Linked DNA regions of Lytechinus pictus. The protein of the gene in region 2 interacts with the protein of the main gene of each other region in a pairwise test. Links are inferred from orthologs where the notes say so. Each region holds a gene or a part of one and is shown on either strand. Other genes may lie near its edges.

Region 1 (9,935 bases), on a different chromosome or scaffold from region 2:
GACATCATCCATGAAAGTGTAGGCCTATATCTGGGAAATGTTGACCGAGCCAAACACGGAATTGTATTTTTGTTTATCGTCTTTGGTCAAATAGATTTTACATCTTTGTATTCGAAATCTCTAACAATAGTCATACAAAATACTAATTCATAAAAAATGTAAATTTAGTTATGGTTATAAGTCAACCGCGTAGCCAGGATTTCATTTTGGAGGGGGCGGTAAATGCACGCAAAGCGTGCCAACACTTACAGAGCGCGCGCCCTAGGGGGTGGGTGCAGGGAGGGGGAGTTTCCCCCTCCCGCGCGAAGCGCGAAGCTTTTGGTGTTTCATAAATTAAAATGAAAAGGAGCCGTCTCTCTTGTCTCTAGTACCTATATATCAGCTCCAATTCAGTTGACTATATTGTGATTTTGAACCTTGTTTTAAAACAAGATTGTGAACGCACAAAAAAGGAATACAATGGAGGAAATGAAAATGATAATAACCCCGCGCGAAGCACGGAAACTAAAGCGTTTTATTAATTTTTTTTGAATGAAAATGGTCCCGAGAAAAGGGTATTCTCAAACACATATTGAATACTTCCCTTGGAAAGATCAGATTTGATTACAAACAATTTAGCGACAGTGAATATCTTTAACTCGCAAAACAGAGGAGAAGAAGTGTATATGCCGGGAGGAAGATATTCCTCCCCGCGCAGAACAACGAAACTCTGAAATTTCAAAGGGCGGACGTTTCATCAAATGCGGATATCTCCAATACCCCATCGGCTCTAATTCAATTAATTTTCTAAGATTATTGAACTTCATTACAAGGAAAATAGTGCGCAAAAAGTTGAAACTTCTGTGATTTATTGAAATTATATAAAAAGGATACTTAATTTCTTTGACTTATCCTGAAGCGCTTCATTTTGAATTATAAAGAAACTTTAGTGTCATTCAAAATTTCAAACTGAGGGCGCAAAACAGGACAGGAGATGAATGTGCAGGGAAATGACATGAAGTTTAATAGAATTTGATAAAAAATATTGTACTTTTTTATTTAATACGATACGAATTTTATACCTTCCTCTTTTTAAATTAGGAACCTGTTTGCCCCAAAACTTATGGTTGTTTAGTAATGAGCTGAAAAGCGGGAGAAGTTGACTTCATGGAGGTGACGGCAGAAATTGATATAAAGATTTCACCCGCCCGGAGCCGACCCGACCAGAAGTTGCGCGATCAATTAAAAAAAAAGATAACTTCATATACTTCGGCCTATTAAACCTTACTCTAATTCCATGCCCTAATGTATGCATTTGAACTTTAACTGGCAAGAAACACATATAGCTGAGGTGGAAAAACAGGGTTAGAGAAAGGGTGGGGAGAACAATGGAGATCTTCAATATTGTCATTTAACCACGCGCAGCGCGGAAGCAAAATTCATATATAAATCTAAAGCAAGAGTGAAGGAGTTTCTCTTTTGAGAAAAAAAAAAAAAAAAAAAAAAAAAAAAAAGCTACCTTTCTTCCCTTTCCTCCCTTCCCTTTTCCTTTTCTCCTCTCTTTTTTCCCTTCTCTTTTTTTTCTTTTTGGGGACGTTTTTTTTTGGGGACGACCGCCCCCACCGCCCCCCCCTGGCTACGCGCCTGTTATAAATCAGGATGGAAAACAAAATGGATGAGGACAGGCTTAATATTTGTTTGTTGGATGCACGGATCGTGAATGATACGTTTTGCAGTTTCTATCGAAATCTACATGTTTTATAGAATTATTATCTTCATGATCCATAATCAAATTATTTCAGAGGGTCCCGAGGAAGACATATTAATTATGTATGGTTAATCTTAAGCGGGTGAATCCTATGAGTTAATATTTTCTTGATGTATGATAATTCAATATGGTCATAAAGTTCCTTCATTAGTCCATCTGTGGATTGTCGGTATTTGCAACCATCCATCTTTTAATTGGATATTTGTCTACGTAAAGTGAACAAGTTTTTTTGTATTATTAATTTTTGATAGGCCTATTCACTTATAACTGAATATAAAATCACAATCAGGGGCCTGTAACACAAAGATTAGCAATGAATTTGCTACGATCGATTGCATTGACTACAATGTAGCCTACAATCAATCGTGAAAATCAAGCGTACGATTAATCGCTAACCTTTGTGTATAACGGGACTTAGATCATGGAGCCATTGCGCAGATGGACATTTTACGGTAGGCATATATAGGCAGCGCCTAAAGGCCACCGCACACCTTAAGCCCCTTTCACAATTGACGTACGACCTGTTTACGACCACCTGCAACAGTTTTTTCTTGTTGTTGCACGATCGATCTCTTGGTGTCTTGCGAGCACTCGCAGTGGTTGTAGACGGTCGCACGAACTCGAGGTGGTCGTGACTGGTCACATCTGAACTTTGAACATGTTCAAAATCCGAACGCGATCAAATACGACCGATTCACTCGCATCAGCTCGTATCCGGGGTCGTACCATCGGTCGGGCGATCATCGTGGGAGTGTTGTTCAACGTTGCACGACTTGGTGCGAGAGGTGGCACAACTAAGTAGTCGCATTTACTCGACTGGAGGTCGTACAACACTTGCACATGTGCTAGCGACCTACATGTACAGAGACCTGTCTTGCGACTGGGTGCGATAATATGATGGCCATAAGACTGTTGCAAGACCGATCGCAACGGCTTACAACATTGCACTACCGTTGTGTGCGACCGTTCCCCTCGCAATCCCTCGTGCAACACTCGCATGTGATCGCACGAGCACAATAGGATCATAAGCGACTTACTCGTGCAACGGGTTTTACTGATTGTTTTTGTTGTACGACAGCTGTTGCAACTGTGAAAGCCTCTGTGCGATATTATGAGATGACTGGCGATTGATGCCTGTTGCAGCCTGTCGCACGACCAAAAGGTCGCAAGTGGTCGTACGTCAATTGTGAAAGGGGCTTTACGACTGTTCGCGATCCGATTTTGGAACAAATCGCATTTTGCTCATTTTCTGAAAATGTGAATGGAACATATCATTTTATTTGAGGTTAAAATTAATTAAAAGAATACTGATATAACCATTTTGAAAGATTGCAAGCCTTTATTTTGGAGTGAAGGCCAAATTAGTTTCAAATCGTAGCCAATCGTACGACTGCTATTACGTCATTACGACTAGATATTAAATTCGCTTTTATTCTAAGAACTAAGAAGGATGATAGCATAGTCACAGAATTGAACATAGGTATTCGTATGATGATTTAGAACATTACGCAGTAAGATATTTCAAGTCTCAATATTAGCATCAAATTCTACTACATTTTATTCTGAAATCGGGTCGCAGATCAATCGTAAGGTGTGCGGTCGCCTTAAAGTTTGACGTCCACTGAGAGAAAATGGGGTGGTTAAGCTGCAGAGAAATGTGATCCGTGATGCATCTCTATCTATATACTTCTTTTGCTGATGGCCATGATGCGATCAATGATCCCGGTTTCACAATGGTGTTAATGATGATGAGGTGATCCCAGGCGCGTAGCCAGGGGGGCGGTGGGGGCGGTCGCCCCCCAAAAAAAAACGTCCCCAAAAAGAAAAAAGAAGGGAAAAAAGAGAGGAGAAAAGGAAAAGGGAAGGGAGGAAAGGTAGCTTTGTGTTTGTTTTTTCTTCTTATTCTTTTTTTTTCTCAAAAGAGAAACTCCTTTTCTCTTGCTCTAAATTTATATATGAATTTTGCTTCCGCGCTGCGCGCGGTTAAATGACAATATTGAAGTTCTCCATTGTTTCCCCCACCCTTTCTCTAACCCTGTTTTTCCACCTCAGCTATATGTGTTTCTTGCCAGTTAAAGTTCAAATGTATATATTAGGGCATGGAATTAAGAGTTAGGTTGGGCCGAAGTATATGAAGTTATCTTTTTTTTTTAATTGATCGCGCAACTTCTGGTCGGGTTGGCTCCGGGCGGGTAAAATCTTTATATCAATTTCTGCCGTCACCTCCATAAAGTCAACTTCTCCTGCTTTTCAGCTCATTACTAAACAACCATAATTTTGGGGCAAACAGGTTCCTAATTTAAAAAGAGGAAGGTATAAAATTCGTGTCGTATTAAATAAAAAGGTACAATATTTTTTATCAAATTCTATTAAACTTCATGTCATTTCCCTGCACATTCATCTGTCCTGTTTTGCGCCCTCAGTTTGAAATTTTGAATGACACTTAAGTTTCTTTATAATTCAAAATCAAGCGCTTCCGGATAAGTCAAAGAAATTAGGCCTCCTTTCTCGTATAATTACAATAAATCACAGAAGTTTCAACTTTTTGCGCACTATTTTCCTTGTAATGAAGTTCAATAGTCTTAGAAAATCAATTGAATTAGAGCCGATGTGGTATTAGATATATATGCATTTGATGAAACGTCCGCCCTTTTTTTTTGAAATTTCAGAGTTTCATTGCTCTGCGCGGGGAGGAATATCTTCCTCACGGCATATACACTTCTTCTCCTCTGTTTTGCGAGTTAATGATATGCACTGTCGCTAAATTGTTTGTAATCAAATCTGATCTTTCCAAGGGAAGTATTCAATATATCTTTGAGAATACCCTTTTCTCGGGACCCTTTTCATGGCAAAAAAATTGATAAAACGCTTTAGCTTCCGCGCTTCGCGCAGGGTAATTATTATTTTAATTTCCTCCATTGTATTCCTTTTTTGTGCGTTCACAATCACTTTTAAAAACAAGGTTCATGAAAACAAGGTTAAAAATCACAATATAGTCAACTGAATTGGAGCTAATATAGGTACTAGAGACAAGAGAGACGGCTCCTTTTCATTTCGATATATGAAACACCAAAAGCCCTCCCTGCACCCACCCCCTAAGGAGCACTTCGCGCGCTCTGTAAGTGTTGGTTGGCACGCTTCGCTTGCATTTACCGCCCCCTCAAAAATGAAATCCTGGCTACGCGGTTGGGTGATCCATAATCTGATGATCATGCAGGGTGATGTTGATGGTGATGATGACGGAGAAAATGAGATGATGATGATGATGATGATGGTTATGGTGATGGTGATGATGATGACGATGATGATGATGATGGTGGTGATGATGATGATGATGATGAAGGTGATGATGATGATGGTGATGATGGTAGTGGTGGTGGTGGTGGTGGTGGTGGTGGTGGTGGTGTATATGGGGTGATATTTGATGATGCATTATGGTGGTGGTGATGATGCTGCTGATGATGATGATCGATGATAATGTTGATGATGATGGTGGTGGTTGTCAGGATGAAGTTTGATAATTTCTTTACCTATTCCTCCTCTACTACTATATTGGTTTTGTTCAGAAGCGGCGATAGTAGAGTAGATTTGAATTTGACCCCATTTGATTCCATTGGGGCGTGCTGCCTTTGTTGTAGACGGCCGATGGTCGGTCGCGTCGGTATTATGGGGCCGCACCGAGGTCGATTAGTAGTCGAGAGCGAGACGACATCCCAATGCCATGAAAATGGGGGATAGATCGGATGGAAATTCAACATCATTTACAACTTGCAATGGAAATGAAAATCAAAGTGGAGATTGCAGTCACATAAATGATGGGGATGAAGAGGATTATGAGCTAGAAATCGTAACCGCTGTCGCAGATTTCTGTGCAATTGACGATAGCCAGGTATGAGTGCAATTCCTTTCTGTAGTCCCACGTGAAGAAATTAATGTTCTATCTATCTTGATTATGGTTAGATTCGTAAGTCATGATTTATCATTTTGTGTTATTATTCGTTTGGCATGATGTGAGCCCGGGGGGGGGGGGGCAGTCAAATGTATTGCTGTACACATGCGTGACCAAATTATTTCCAAACACCCCCTAAACAAGTTTTTTTTCTCCGTGTGCAAAATATCAGACTACCAGACAAGGGTCCCTCACCGTACACACCAATTGAAGATCTCTTCATCAGCTTACGAGGAGTGAATAAACAACTGAAAGAACTTAACACCAACAAAGCCAGTGGTCCAGATGAAATACCTGCTAGAATGTTAAGAGACTATGCAGATGAGATTAGCCCAGTCCTTACTCATCTCTTCCAACAATCCTATGATGAGGGAATTCTTCCAAGTGATTGGCTAAGAGCTCAAGTGGCCAGCATCTACAAGTCTGGCGACAAGAGTAACCCAGCCAACTATAGACCGGTGTCACTCACGTGCATCTGCTGCAAGATCCAAGAGCACATTGTATTGAGCCACATGTCAAAATACTTGGAAAAGAATAACATCATCAACCCAAACCAACATGGATTTAGGAAGGGACTGTCATGCGAAACGCAACTTGTTGAGGCCATCAATGACTGGGCATACAACATCGACCAGCAATGTCAGACAGACGCCTTCTTTCTTGACTTTAGTAAGGCCTTTGATAAGGTATCACACAGGAAGCTGCTCTACAAATTGGAGTATTATGGCATTACTGGTCAAATGCATGGATGGATCAAAGCTTTTCTATCAGGCAGATCTCAGTCAGTTCATGTTGATGGAACATCCTCACCACGAGCCAGTGTACTCTCAGGCGTGCCGCAAGGCTCAGTACTCGGGCCTGTGTTATTCCTGCTGTACATCAATGACATCTGTGAATGCATCTCATCACCAATCAGACTCTTTGCTGATGACTGTGTGCTGTATCGCAAGGTCAAGACAAGAGCTGACCACGCAATTCTCCAGCGAGATCTTTCAACATTATCAGATTGGGCAAAACTGTGGGATATGTCCTTCAATGTCAAGAAGTGTGCCCACATGTGTATCTCATTGAAACGACAACCCTTGGCTTGCAACTTTACCATCAGTGACCAACCTGTTCCAACGGCAACCTCCTGTAAATACCTCGGTGTGACCATCACAGACAACCTGAGTTGGAACTCCCATGCACAGAAGATATCCTCCAAAGCTGCTCGTACTCTTGGAATCATACGTCGAGCATTGGGTAAATGTGACCTGAAAGTGAGAGACATTGCGTACAAGCAACTTGTCAGACCTCAACTTGAGTATGCTTCATGTGCATGGAATCCTCACATACAGAAAGATGTAAACATTATTGAGAACATTCAACGTCAGGGTGCTCGGTTTGTCCTTCATGACTATAGCAGAGAATCCAGTGTAACATCGATGTTGTCAACTCTTCACTGGGATACTCTCCAACACAGACGCCTTCTTAGCCAATGTGAGATGTTCTACAAAATTCATCACAATTATGTTTACATCAACATGCCACATCAGATTAAGTTAAGCAGCAGTTCTCGTCCACAACGTTCACAACACACTGGACATCAGCTCAAGTACACCCAGCCTTTTTGTAGAGTGAACTGCTACATGTACAGTATGTTCCCAAGAACCATCCGTATTTGGAATACTCTCCCAAACGCTGCTGTAACTTCGACCTCTATAGCTGGCTTCCGGGGAGCAACATTGCCTATCATTCAGCAAATGTTGCCTCCCCCTCCCCTTAAGATGCTGTAAGAGGGACACACACGCACCACCCGCACACTGCACCTAGCACACTGTATATAGTGCACCAAGAATACCACCACAGGATCACCACATCACCTGAAGCACTGGCAGCACCTGACACAGCACAACCCTCTCCAGGACAGCGTGTACGCTTTTGGGAGAGTACTTCTTCAAGATTCAAGATCCCCTAACAAAAGACTAGAGTAGAGTCTAACGTTAGACTAAACAAGTTTTTCGCGGGCTTTATTTACACCGATTTACACATTGGCCCCTAAATAGGGTGTCTGACATGTCTGAAGCCACACTGAAAACTGTCAGCATAAAACAGGCTGATTTAGGGGAAAATATGGCACATTTTTTCGGAAATTCAGGCTGCTACTAGTGCTAGAAAAATGTGATCTGAATTGATTATTAACTTGTGAGTTGTGTTTGGCATGTATGGAAAGAGAAAAGTCAGGGGCTTCTTTTGACAGTAAGGACAATTTTATAGGATTATTTGAAATAAGGATTTAGAGATAAATTGCAAACCCTTATTTGTGTGTTGAGATTGGCATTTCCCCATGTGTTTTCTGTGGGAAAATGAAATTTCTGTTTTGCACAATTTTTTTCACTTTGTCGCAATTTTTTATTGTGATCTTTTTTCCAAATCTTTATAAAAATCATACCATTAGAAAGAACATAAAAAATCTTATTGAACTATTTATGGACAAGTTTTTGGCATTAATAATAAATTAATAACAGCTCTCGGCCTCAGAAGCTAAAAATTTGGATTTGTGTGTGTCCATTTCTTAACTACACAGTCCATGGCAGAGAAGTGCTGAAAATTGACCTAATTTCATTCTTCTTTTTTGCAGCCAATAATTGGATTTTTCTTTAAAATGTTACATTTCTGTCAGTCTGAAGGTTATTTCTCTTCAAATTCACAAAGAAAATGTCATATTTTCATGAAATAAGAAAAAAAAAAAAAATCTCCAGAAACCCTACCCTAAACAAGTTGTCACCAGAATATGACCCCAGGGAAAAAGCTTGGGGTAAAAGCACAATTCACCCTTTTGATGGGTGAAAAGGGGCGCAATAATAAAGAGAAAATAATAGTTAGTGCATATACTATAATCGCTTTACAACTTTTCTGAAATATATGCTGGAAAATACTGAATTATTATGACAAACATTGAGGATCAGGTTCTTCTTTGATCATTCACCATCAATACCGCTGAGCGTACAAAAGCACCAGCCAAAAACGTCTGTGTTACCATTTTCAGTTCATGAACTGAAAAAAAATAGGAATTTCTGTGTGATGCTCTGGAACAGAAATTTAGGCTGAAAATTTAGGTTTTGACTGCAGCACATACGTATCATACATTTATACAAAGTACCCCCCCCCCCCCGGTCACGTACGTGCAGTCGCCGCTGGCTAACGTCAGCTTAATGGACGACGCCATACTGCCAGATTTGGCCCGCGCCCTCACCGGCTAACGCTCGAACGCCATTCATCCATACACTAATTCCTTTTGATTACCGTTGATAAAAACCTCGTTCAAATCTTTTCCAGAATTCTTATGAATTAGCGATGGATGTTTTTCCGTTAATCAAATATCCTTTATTATACCAATATTTTTTTTATATTTATAACATTTTTATTTTAATCACAATTTCAGTCCAAACGCGGGTCTGTTTTTGTGAACCCACGTTGTTTGTGCATGCCCACGTATGGCCTTACGCGTATTGAAAGGAATGATGTTGGGTCGAAAAACAGAATTGTTGTTATTGTTTGTTCCGTGTTTGTTGGGGATGAAACTATGATGGCGACCAGTCACGTTTGACTGTACCGCCAGATAGTTAAGATTAATTAATTAAGGTCAAGGTGAGATAAGAGAAATGAGCAAGGGGCTTTGTGGTGGGGGGGGGAGGGAGAGAGAGAGAGAGGGGGGGGGAGTTAAGAGGGCCGAGTGGGGATACAGTTTCATCATGCAGTACAGGGCGTCGATGAACACCTTAATTTTTTTCTCCAAAATATGGAAAGTGACAGAATAATCAGAAAAAGGTTGATTGGTTCTGATTTTGAAAAAAACAAAAAAACAATTCAAACAGAATTAATCAAGATTGCTGTTATTCTTCATGGTTGTAGAATTTAATTTAGTTTCTCTGATAAGTTCTTTCAAACAAATCAAATTTTGATTAATCGTATTTGATTTATTTCACTCTTTTCTTTCGCCCCGTTTTTTTTTCTTCCAAAAAATCAGGGAGCTGAAAAAGATGACAGCTAAAACCTAAAGATATGGGGGTAGCTATGACCTTGGAGAGGGCGCAGCCCCATGCACTTGCAGATCCAGATCGATTTTCATTTCATAGGGGACACTTAGAGTAGCCCCTATTTCTTCAATATTTTTTTACAAGCAAAAAAAAAAAAAGAGTCAATGAAGACATCATGCCACCGACAGCTGCCTCGTCAAAGGGGGGCGGTCGATTATTT
Region 2 (10,853 bases):
TTTTTATTACGTCTATTACCATTTAGTCCAATAATAATAATAATAATACTAATATGTCCATTTATATAGCGCAGTTACTATGTGCATATACTCAACTGCGCTTTGATACTTGGTATAATATTATGATAACTAAGCCGCCATATTAATAGGCGATAAAGCGTTCAAGGAATAAATCCTGCCGGGTACCCATTCACCTCACCTGGGTCGAGTGCAGCACAATGTGGATGAATTTCTTGCCGAAGGAAATTACGCCATGGCTGGGATTCGAACCCACGACCCTCTGTTTCAAAGTCCGAAGACTAATCCACTTTTATAGGCCACAACGCTCCACGATAGCCAACTGGTCTAAAGGCAAATGGTCTAATCCACTTAGTCTACTTTTATTTCATCTATTCCCAGTGGCGTAACTACGGGGGGGCATGGGGAGCACGTGCCCCCCCCCCCCCAATCGGCTGGCCAAAAAAAAAAAAACGGGGAAAAGGAGAAAAAGAGGGAGAAAGGGAAAGAAACGTAGTGGGAAAGAAGAAATTATTGTTAATTATAATGGTATATTATATTATGATTATCTTATGTTATATTACATAAATAAATTATAACTTTATGAAACATAATTTGCACAGGGCCTAGTCTTCATTTTTCCTGGTGCTCGCATTGCCTGTTTAACAATATATATAATCTTCTTGTACTAAAACCTCCCGTTTTCAAGTCAATATACACCAAATATATTTTCTTAGACTTCGAATTATTATTGTTTTATGTAGTGACATATACTTTTTTTTTCATGACTACTTAAAGTGATTGCCCGATTTTAAGGTCTTAATATAAACCATTTCCTGTCCGTACTTACGTTCGCATTCGTGGATTGGTGAGATATGTCTGTTCTTCATGAATTTTCTAAAATCAGTCCTTAAAATGTCCCTTTTTCTGATCTGAATGTAAAAAATTTCAGCTTGCGCTTCGCGCTCGCATCATTTGGTTAGTGAAATACGCATGGTCTACGTGAATTCTAACAAAATCAGCATTCGCTTGGCACTCGCATTAGATGACTATGGTGAGATATCTGTACTCTTAATGGAATCCTTTAAAAAAATAAATAGTCCTTATCCCTCTTTTGGGTCAATATATACAAAAATTTCAGCTCGCGCTTCGCGTTCGCATCATTTGGTTAGTGAACTACATATGATCTACGTGAATTCCTACAAACAAGCCTTGAAATATCCCTCTTCAGGTCTGACTTTCCTAAATTTTCAGCTCGCGCTTCGCGCTCGCAATATTTGATTAGTGAGATGCGTATGTTAATTATGATTACAATGACTACAAGTGCTTCATGTGTTTAGATGTATATTATTCTAACAATATCAGCAAGCGCTTTGTACTCGCATTAGATGACTATGGTGAGATATGTATACTCTTAATTAATGCATTCCTAAAATATTGTCCTTAAAATGTCCGTTTGGGGTCAATATATACAAAAATTTCAGCTCGCGCTTCGCGCTCGCATTATGTGATCAGTGAGATACATATCCGTTTAATGACACTGTCCTTTAAATGTCCCTATTATGTCAGTATACCTAGCAACTGAGCGAGCTTCGCGCGCTCTATAAGTGACTCATAATTTTTGCTGGTGCCCCCCCCCCCAATGCCGTGACCCACGGTACGCCACTGTCTATTCCATTTGGTCTAACTGCAGTTGGTCCTCTGTCACTTAGTCTAAACCCATTTCGTCTAACAATCATTTCTAATTGCCATTTAATTGCCATTTGGTCTAATCACCAATAGGTCCAATTGCCATCTCGGCCAATCATCATTTCGTCATATATTTTCGTCATTCTACTATAGCAGCCCTACGTGTTCGGTACATGTGCTGACTCGACTCATGTTGCTGTTGTGTGATTTATTATTAATTTACACCTGTTGTTTGCTTAATCTGTTATAAAATTGTAATTGACGTATCTAGCGGGGGGGGGGGGGGGGGCAAGGGGGCACGTGCCCCGGGCACCATTTTCAGGGGGCGCAAATAAAGAAAAGGAAAACAAAAAATGAAGAGAAAAAGAAAAGGAATAAATTAAGGCGCAGAAAAGGAAAACCACTGAAGGTGATTAATACCCCCGTCCCATGCTATTACCATGGTAATGCAGTTTCCAACACATTTAGAAAATCAATCTTGCATGTCTTTACCCAGGGATGAATTCGTGCCAACTTTTGATTAGTGATATATATACTCTCTTCAAGAATTCCAATACTCCTTACAAAAAAATTCCTTTTCAAACGCAAATGTCATAACTTTTCATCTAGTCTATTTGCGGGTTTGCATTTTGTTACATTATTCTTCATTTTATTCTTACAAACAGTTCTGAAAAACACATTTTCTGATTCAATTGTCAAAGCGTTTCACCACGTGCTGATTTGACTAAAAGGGAGATACAAATCCTCTTCATTAAGTTTACAAACATTCATTAAAACGACCTTCGACCCTTTTTAGGTGAGGACATAAATAAATAAATAAATAAATAAATATATACATATATATATATATATATAATCACAAATGGTTTAGAAAATGCCGTAGAAATAAAATCGTAGATTTTAAAAGGAGCATAGCTCTCAAAAATGAAAGGTAAAGTCACACTCTTCGTCAGTGCCCATGATGTGACAAAAAAAAAAGCGAATTCAAAATCCGTTTCTGAAACAGTCGTGAAAAACACGTCTGTTCATGGGCATACGGATTGTGAAACTCACCACAAAGAAATCAATGCGCTGAAGATATATATATTACGCCGATCAGATATTATACTTCTCATGAATTCCTACAAATTTCAGCTTACCCATCCTGCTTGCATTATATAATTGCTTAGTTATCGTGAGATTATTTCTCCCTAAAATGTCCCGACTGCCGGTCTCGATATCAATCATATTCAGCTCGCGCTCGCATTACTTGTTTAGCATGTTTAGATATGCATCATGTTAATGATTACAAAATAGGCTCGCGCTTCGCCCTCGTATTAGGTCGATTTATTTACAGAGATATACCTATCATCTCTTTTCTAAAAAGGGTCTTTTTACATGTTCCCTTTTCAGGTCTGAATATCAATATTTTTCAGCTCGTGCTTAGCGCTCGCATTCATTGTTTACGATAATTAGATACACACAATTTTCATGAAAATAAAAAAACTTATAATATTCCGTCTTGATATTGAAAAAATATTCACTCTCGCACTGACCGGTCGAGTGTATAATACACTCAAGAGGCGCGATTTTAGCGCTTGCCCCGGGCGCCGTTTGTCCTAGATACGCCACTGATAATACTGTGCAGTATTTTAAACTCCATTATAATAATGTTCTTACGCAAGATGAACAGGCAATGCCAGGGAGCACCGACCTAGCGAAAAATGTATGATATGGAAGAATTTATATTTTCCAGGTCTTCCCCTCACGTTTCATTCACTTGTCTTCCTCCTCTTATTTTATTTTATATTATACCTATTCCCTTTTCTTCCCCTCCGCTTGCCCACTTTTCTCTCCTCTTTTTTTTTCTTTCATTTTTTGTGCCGCTGTTTTTTTTGGTATTAAAATGATGTTTTATTGGTCACTTCAAGGTACATTCAATTCAATAGAGTTGAACAAGTACAAATGATACATCATAAGAAATTACATAACAGTTACGTAGCATATAAGTGCATATGGATAACCACTGTATCAATTCATGTCTCGCCATCTGCGTTCGTGGACACTCCTTTTGTTATTTCGAATAGCTGTAAATGTTTCCATTTTATACGATCGATCTAGTTAACAAATAAACACAATCACAGAAACTGTTGGTGTACATGATTTTCATCTAAGATAAATAGATTTCTTTGCAATAACTAGAAAAGGATGAAAAAGAGAATATTTTTTGATAACGCACCCATTACACTTTTTCCGTTCAAAATGAAAAATCTGTAAATGGACAATTCCAAAATGAATGTTCGATCGTTTCATTTTCTGCATTACCTTACAGAAGAAACATAAGTCTAAACGTATTTACTGGACGCTCATATCTTTCTGCCACCAATATATCATAAAAATGTTTACTTTTTTTTAATTTGTTTATTTACGTGATCAGTGGCGTACCGTGGGTCACGGCATTGGGGGGGCACGAGCAAAAATTTTGAGTCACTTAGTGAGCGCAGCGCGCCCAGTTGCCAGGTATACTGACCTAATAGAGACATTTTAAGGACAGTGCCATTAAACGGATATGTATCTCACTGGTCAAATAATGCGAGCGCGAAGCGCGAGCTTAAAATTTTTGATATTCAGACCTAAAAAAGGACATTATAAAATTCTTTTGTAATCATGATACGTACCTGTCTCGCTAAATAATGCGAGCGTGAAGCGCGAGCTGAAATTTTTGTAAATATTGACCCCAAACGGGAAGATTTTAAGGACTATATTTTAGGAATCCGTTAAGAGTATACACATCTCACCATAGTCATCTAATGCGAGTGCCAATAAGCGCTTGCTGATTTTGTTAGAATTACATCTAAACATATGCACATAAAGCACTTGTAATCATGATTAACATACCCATCTCACTAATCAAATCTTGCGAGCGCGAAGCGCGAGCTGAAAATTTAGGAAATTCAGACCTGAAGAGGGGCATTTTAAGGCTTGTTTGTAGGAATTCACGAAGACCATACGTAGTTCACTAACCAAACGGTGCGAGCGCGAAGCGCGAGGTGAAATTTTTTGATATTCAGATCAGAAAAAGGAACATTTTAAGGACTGATTCTAGGAATTCATTGAGAGCAGACATATTTCACCAATCCGCTACTGCTAACGTAAGCACGGACAGGAAATGTTTTATATTAAGACCTTAAAATGGGGCAATCACTTTAGTCATGAAAAAGAAGCATACTTGTACATAAAACAATAACTCGAAGTGCGAGGAAATATATTTGGCAGTTTGGTATATATTGACTTGAAAACGGGAGGTTTTTTATCAGGGTTATATATCTCGGTAAACAGACAATGCGAGCTTCAGGAGCAATGAAAACATAGGCCCTGAGCAAATTATGTTTCATTAAGTTATGAAAAATGTTTCTTATGTAATATAACATAACATATTATTATGAAATAATATAACATTATAATGAACAATAATGTCTTTTTTCCCACTATACGTTTCTCTTTCTTTCTCCCTCTTTTTCTCCTTTTCCCCGTTTTTTTTTTTTTTTTTTTTTTTTTTTGGTCAGCCGATTGGGGGGCACGTGCCCCCCCATGCCCCCCCGTAGTTACGCCACTGTACGTGATAGAAAAGAGAGTGAAAGAAGAATTAAAACTTATAGAAATACATAAAAATTCATAAAAACGAAAGCGGAAGGAGAAAACAAAATATACATATGAGAATTGATAGAAGCATTGATGGAAATATTAAAACAAGGATATATATTTAAAGAGAGAGAGAGAGATAAAAATAGAATCAGAAAAATACATAGGAGTTGTTGGAAAACTATAAAAAGGAAAAGATGAGGAAAAAATAGAATAATGTTTCAGAATTTATTGAGCACGCGTTTTTTCCCTTCACTGATATGTCCATATAGAGATCAGGGGCCGCGGGACGGTTAAAAAAAAATCACAATCATATTTTTTTACGTTTTGGGGGGATGAAGAAAAAATAGAATAATGTTTCAAAATTCATTGAGCACGCGTTTTTTCCCGCCCCGCTTCCACGGCCTCTGCATTTACTTATCCTGGTATGATTCGCTCATTCTTCGCTTGCTAGCTCCGATCCAGATCCCAGAATTCAACGCGGCGACATAATAAAGAGTGGGTCATCACGCCACGCCATATGATATAGAGTGGGTTTTCGTAAAACGACCGCTGATTGGATGCTTTCAATTCGATACTGTGCTGTGATAAATCAAATAAAAATGTTTGTTAGAGTATAAAATGATATTTAAATGATCTAATAACAACTTGTAACAATAAAATCATTCAATAAAGTGATATTTATGAAATTTTATGAATCAAAACAATTTTTCAGAAAAATGATTCAATAAATAAATAAATCAGATATCCAATCAGATGACATTTCTTTAGTACAGTTCATCAGGCGTTACGTGTGCATGCGTTCTCGACAGAACTCTGCGTTTGTGTGCAAGGACTCCGTTCTAGGAGTATGGTGCTGCCAACCTTTTACTTTGAATTAAATTAATTTAGTCGTCATAGGTTTAGAATTTATTATATTATAGTTCTGTTATTTAACCTGCATACATAGAGTCTGTTAAGAGAAATCAAAGGTGACAAAATGAGTGAGATTGAACCATCCAAGTTGAAGGTCGCGGAGCTTCGCGCGGAACTGCAAGCGCGTGGACTCGATTCAAAGGGAGTGAAAGCTGTCCTTGTTGATCGACTTGAGAATGCTTTGCTTGCCGAAGCCGAGGAAGTGGGGAATGAGAACGAACCCGCGGAAGCAGACGAAGATGACAATTTTGACGAAGATGTTGTAGAACTAGCACAAGAAGCACTACCAGAAGCAGAGCAAGGATTTGGCGATGAGTTTGGATTTTCAGGGGATCAGGATGGAACCAGCCAAGAAGCAGATGATCTCTTGCAAGCAGGTTCGTGAATTCGGCCAGCCCAAAAAAGCCAAGGCATGCATGGCCAAGAAAAGTCTTGTCCATCATAGGCCATCTTCACTCCAATTTATGAATTAGGCCTATCCAAGACTAAGTAAAATAAAGTGAAGTTGAACTTGAAGTTCCCATTATTAATTACATTCCCATTAATTACATTAAATAATTCCCATTAAATTCATTCGGATATTTGGCTTGCAACGATGCATGCAATGCATGATGCATGTTATGAAATAAATAATGGAGTATAATTCTAGGCCAGAGTAGCCAGGCGGCTTCTTGAGAGTAAAAATCATTTACTAACGTAGGCTTACTCTCAGTCTCAATGAAGCCAGGTCTTCTCATTCACCTACACGAAGGACCCCAAAACCTGAAACTTTCATCCCCGAGATTTCTACTTCTAAAATATCTAGGCCTAAAAGGTTAGCCCTAAATCATGTAGGGCCTACATGGGATAAAACTTCATTTCCGACATTTCTACGCTCTCGTTATTTTTAAACAAGAATTCATCAAAAAAATGAGAAAAATATTGTGAAAATCTTGTTTCCTATTGTTCTTCGCCAATGTTACGCAACGCACGCGACCGTAACGTTGGCGAAGAACAATAGGAAACAAGATGGCGGCGTAAACATCTGGCAAGCAGAAGGTGTAAAAAGTTGAAGGGGCCCATCATACCAGTGCAAAAAACCTTTAATCACTTTGTATTTTGACCAGAACATTTTCTCTCATTTCAGGTGAAGAGGGTGGAGATGACCAACTCTTGGCAGACTTGGAAATTCCTCCAGCTATGGAGGAACCGGAAGCAGAAGTCCAGCCAGAACCACAAGAAGAAGCTATGGTGCAAGAGGAGGATGCCATGCCTCAAGTTACAGAAGCTGAACCAGAAGCAACGGATGAGCAGGGGCAAGTTGAACAGCCACCAGAAAGCATGGAGCAAGAAGCCCAACCACAAACAGAAGAGAAGGAAGGTGAAAATAAAGAGCAGTCTGGGGATGGTAAGGAAAATACACGCTCTGAGAATAGCATGTTTCCCATTTTCCTTTTCTATGACAAAAAAAGTGTATTCAAGATTTCTATTTTCTTACACATTTGCAATTGTGTTTGTGTCAAGTGTAATAAAGTACCATAAATGTTTGAATTTTTGTAATTTATAGGGGACAAGAAAGAAGAAGGTGACAAGGATAAAGAAAGGAAACGCGACTATGAGAACAGGAACCGTGATCGCCGATTTGGAGGCAGAGATAGATCTCCCAGGAGAAGGTGGGTGCGAGTAATAAAGACTTGTAAACAAGTTACTTAACATGTCCTGTGATGATTCTTACACTGCCAGTTCTGCTTCTGATTGAGCACTCAAATTTATGAAGAAACTGAACTAGTGTTACTTTCTGAGGCATTATACTGTTACACATTTGTAATTTTTTCAGTGGATTTTCATTTTTGCCATAGGGCATTGTTTTATTTTTTACATTTTCATTATCATTACAAGAAAGATATACAACACACCAATTTGAGCATGTGGGACAAAGTCACATACTTTGGATGGTGTTACATCCTCAGATGGGGGGGGGGGGGGGGTTGAGGACAATCAAAATTAAATTTTGTTTCTGTAAATGAAGTTTGCTGTGAAAGAAAAACATCTGGTTCTTTCAAGTTCTATTTACAAATATAAATAAAATCTTACTGTGTTTCATCCCAGTTAAATTTATGGTAACAAAATATGTATATTTATATATTTTTTGTGTTGTACCCACCCCCCAAACAAAGAAGTTTGACATTGGATGGTTAGATGTGGGATTCCAAGATGGCCTCTTGCATGAAAAATTTACTTTTAAGTGCAGATTTGGCTGATTTTTATCTTTATTTGGGTATTTTAAATTGTTCAACTGTAAAAAAAAAAAGGAGGGGGGGGGGGGATATCAACAGTTCAATTGGTTCTGCTTGTACTTGACAAGGATGTACATAAAACCATCCAAAAAGTGTGGCTTTGTACCCACATGCTCAAATGGGTGTATTGTGCCTGAGAAGTAGACTTGAACAAAAATGCAATCTTCCATCTTTTTCGAAAGAAATTTGATGTGATACTCTTTCTCTTAAATTACCATTCTAATTACAATGAATTTAGAAAAAACTTTAACTTACAGGTTTTAATTGATTTTGTTTTTCTTTTGATGAACATGTAATTCGGCCTTAGTTTGGCATCATACATAGTTCCCTAATCATTTACAGTCCTTCACGTTTATAATTTCATGGAGCTCAATAAATCGCTCTCCTTATTTTTCTGAGGAGCTCAATTGAGCTCCTCAGAATCGCTCTCCGTGAGGAGCTCAAATCAATTCATTACAATACATGTATGATAAATTGTAGATTTTTCTTAACATTGTATATATGCAGTAGCTGTGTTAGCTATTAATTAATCTGTGGTGAAACTAGGCCTGGGTCACGTCAATACGTTTACAAGATGTCGTATGCGCTACTGCAAAAAAAAAATTGAAAAAAAAAAAAAATTGAAAAAAAAAATTGCTAAAATTTTACATTTTACATCTTTAAATCCATGAAATGGCCTTCTTTTTTCCATAATACCTTGAAATTACTTTGATTTAGTTGAAAACTATCAGAAAAATGAAGAATATTCACCTCTTTCCCGACTCTGATTTGAACTTACCTCAGTAAATATTGTAGTCCCACATGTAGACTTTCATGGTGCTGCCATGAAAATCTACATATGGGACTGCAAATATTTACCGAGTTTAAATTAAAATCAGAGTCGGGAAAGAGATGAATATTCTTAATTTTTCTGATAGTTTTCAACTAAATCAAAGTAATTTCAAGGAATTATGGAAAAAAGAAGACCATTTCATAGATTTAAAGATGTGAAATTTTAGCAATTTTTTTTCTTCATTAAAAAAATTTTTTTTTTAGGAGCGCGATTTTTTGCTATCCTTATTTTTTTTAAGGAGCGCGGTAGGAGCGCCGGCGCGATCGCGCTCCTCAAAAATGAAGGTCTGCATTTCAGAATCATTTGTTGAAAATTTTGGTAACTGCTTTTGCTCGATTTCAGACGAGTACCAGCTTGCTTAATCCACAATGTTATGGAATGGGGAATTCCCCATTCAATGCAGGAAGTGAAAATGCATGAATTTCAAAGCAGGAAGCAAGTTTAGCGTATGTGTACCAATGTCTAAAAATGATTTGTGTTATGAGTTCACAAAGATACTGCATTTAGTGTAATATACAATTGCAACCAACTTTATCCTTCTTACCTTCAGAACACCCCCTCCTGTGGTTATGGAAGAAGATGATGATATACCAGATACACAGTGTGTGCTCAGCAAATGTAAGTTCATTGGGATTTGGATGACTGCTAAATACATGTACCGTATGTATCCTATGGAATGTGAAATCTAAGTTTTGCTTCTGATTTATTCCATGCATTCATGGGAATAGGTGAAGTGTTATTGTTCTTCCACCTTTTGTAGGTGGTTACCAGGGGCATTTTTTCAGATTAACTTATTGCTACAAGTCAACTGTTTCATGGATAACCTAAATGAAGAAAAGATGCATCCCTGTAATCTAGCTTCAAACTCTGGGTCGTGCATACATTTAGGAAGGGCATTGACCTTGTTAGATAATGGTGATCTATCTTTTTAGTCAAGTAAATTTGAATTAGCATCACTCTGCATATTTCATTCTGGCGTAAATATTTGTCACTATTTTTTCACATGTTAACGTTTGTAATTCTGTGATGAAACATACACTGCCAGTTCTGCTTCTGATTGAGCACTTACAACCATGAAGAAACTGAACTAGTGTAGCTATCTGAGAATTGTGATGTAATGATCTTATCAGATTCTTATAATCATGTAATGGCATATTAGATATGACCAAGGGGACTTTCCAAGCAACTTGGAAATCAGATTTGGTCTGATTGAATGACAGTAGTATGTTTTTATTAAACAATTTTGGTCAAATTACAACATGGGATGTGATAAGGAACAAAATTGTGACTATTCTTTTCTTCTATGAATATATTTCTTTTTTCTCTATAGACCTTTCTGACTTGAATCTAAAAATTGGCAAAGATGGCTATAATGCATGTCCCCTCAGCATGGAAGGGTTCGCATACATGTGGGGTGGAGTCAAGGCTACACACGGTGTGAATAAAGGGAAAATCGGATATGAATGCAAGGTATGTATTCCCATAGCAAGAATAATACCCTCTTTTAAAATGTATATGAAATC

Evidence for each region.
Region 1: the proteins of heterogeneous nuclear ribonucleoprotein U-like protein 1 (region 2) and protein arginine N-methyltransferase 2-like interact in a two-hybrid assay, tested with the Homo sapiens proteins (2 studies listed by BioGRID and IntAct). The link is inferred for Lytechinus pictus from reciprocal best matches to the Homo sapiens genes HNRNPUL1 and PRMT2.

What each region holds. Positions count from the first base shown.
Region 1 is NC_087245.1:21,604,245-21,614,179, reverse strand, and holds the start of protein arginine N-methyltransferase 2-like, read left to right. Parts: upstream 1-5,423; 5' UTR 5,424-5,468; coding exon 5,469-5,636; intron 5,637-9,935. UniProt on the Homo sapiens protein: Arginine methyltransferase that methylates the guanidino nitrogens of arginyl residues in proteins such as STAT3, FBL, histone H4. Acts as a coactivator (with NCOA2) of the androgen receptor (AR)-mediated transactivation.
Region 2 is NC_087251.1:23,710,595-23,721,447, reverse strand, and holds the start of heterogeneous nuclear ribonucleoprotein U-like protein 1, read left to right. Parts: upstream 1-6,061; 5' UTR 6,062-6,286; coding exon 6,287-6,599; intron 6,600-7,348; coding exon 7,349-7,609; intron 7,610-7,768; coding exon 7,769-7,874; intron 7,875-9,880; coding exon 9,881-9,948; intron 9,949-10,660; coding exon 10,661-10,800; intron 10,801-10,853.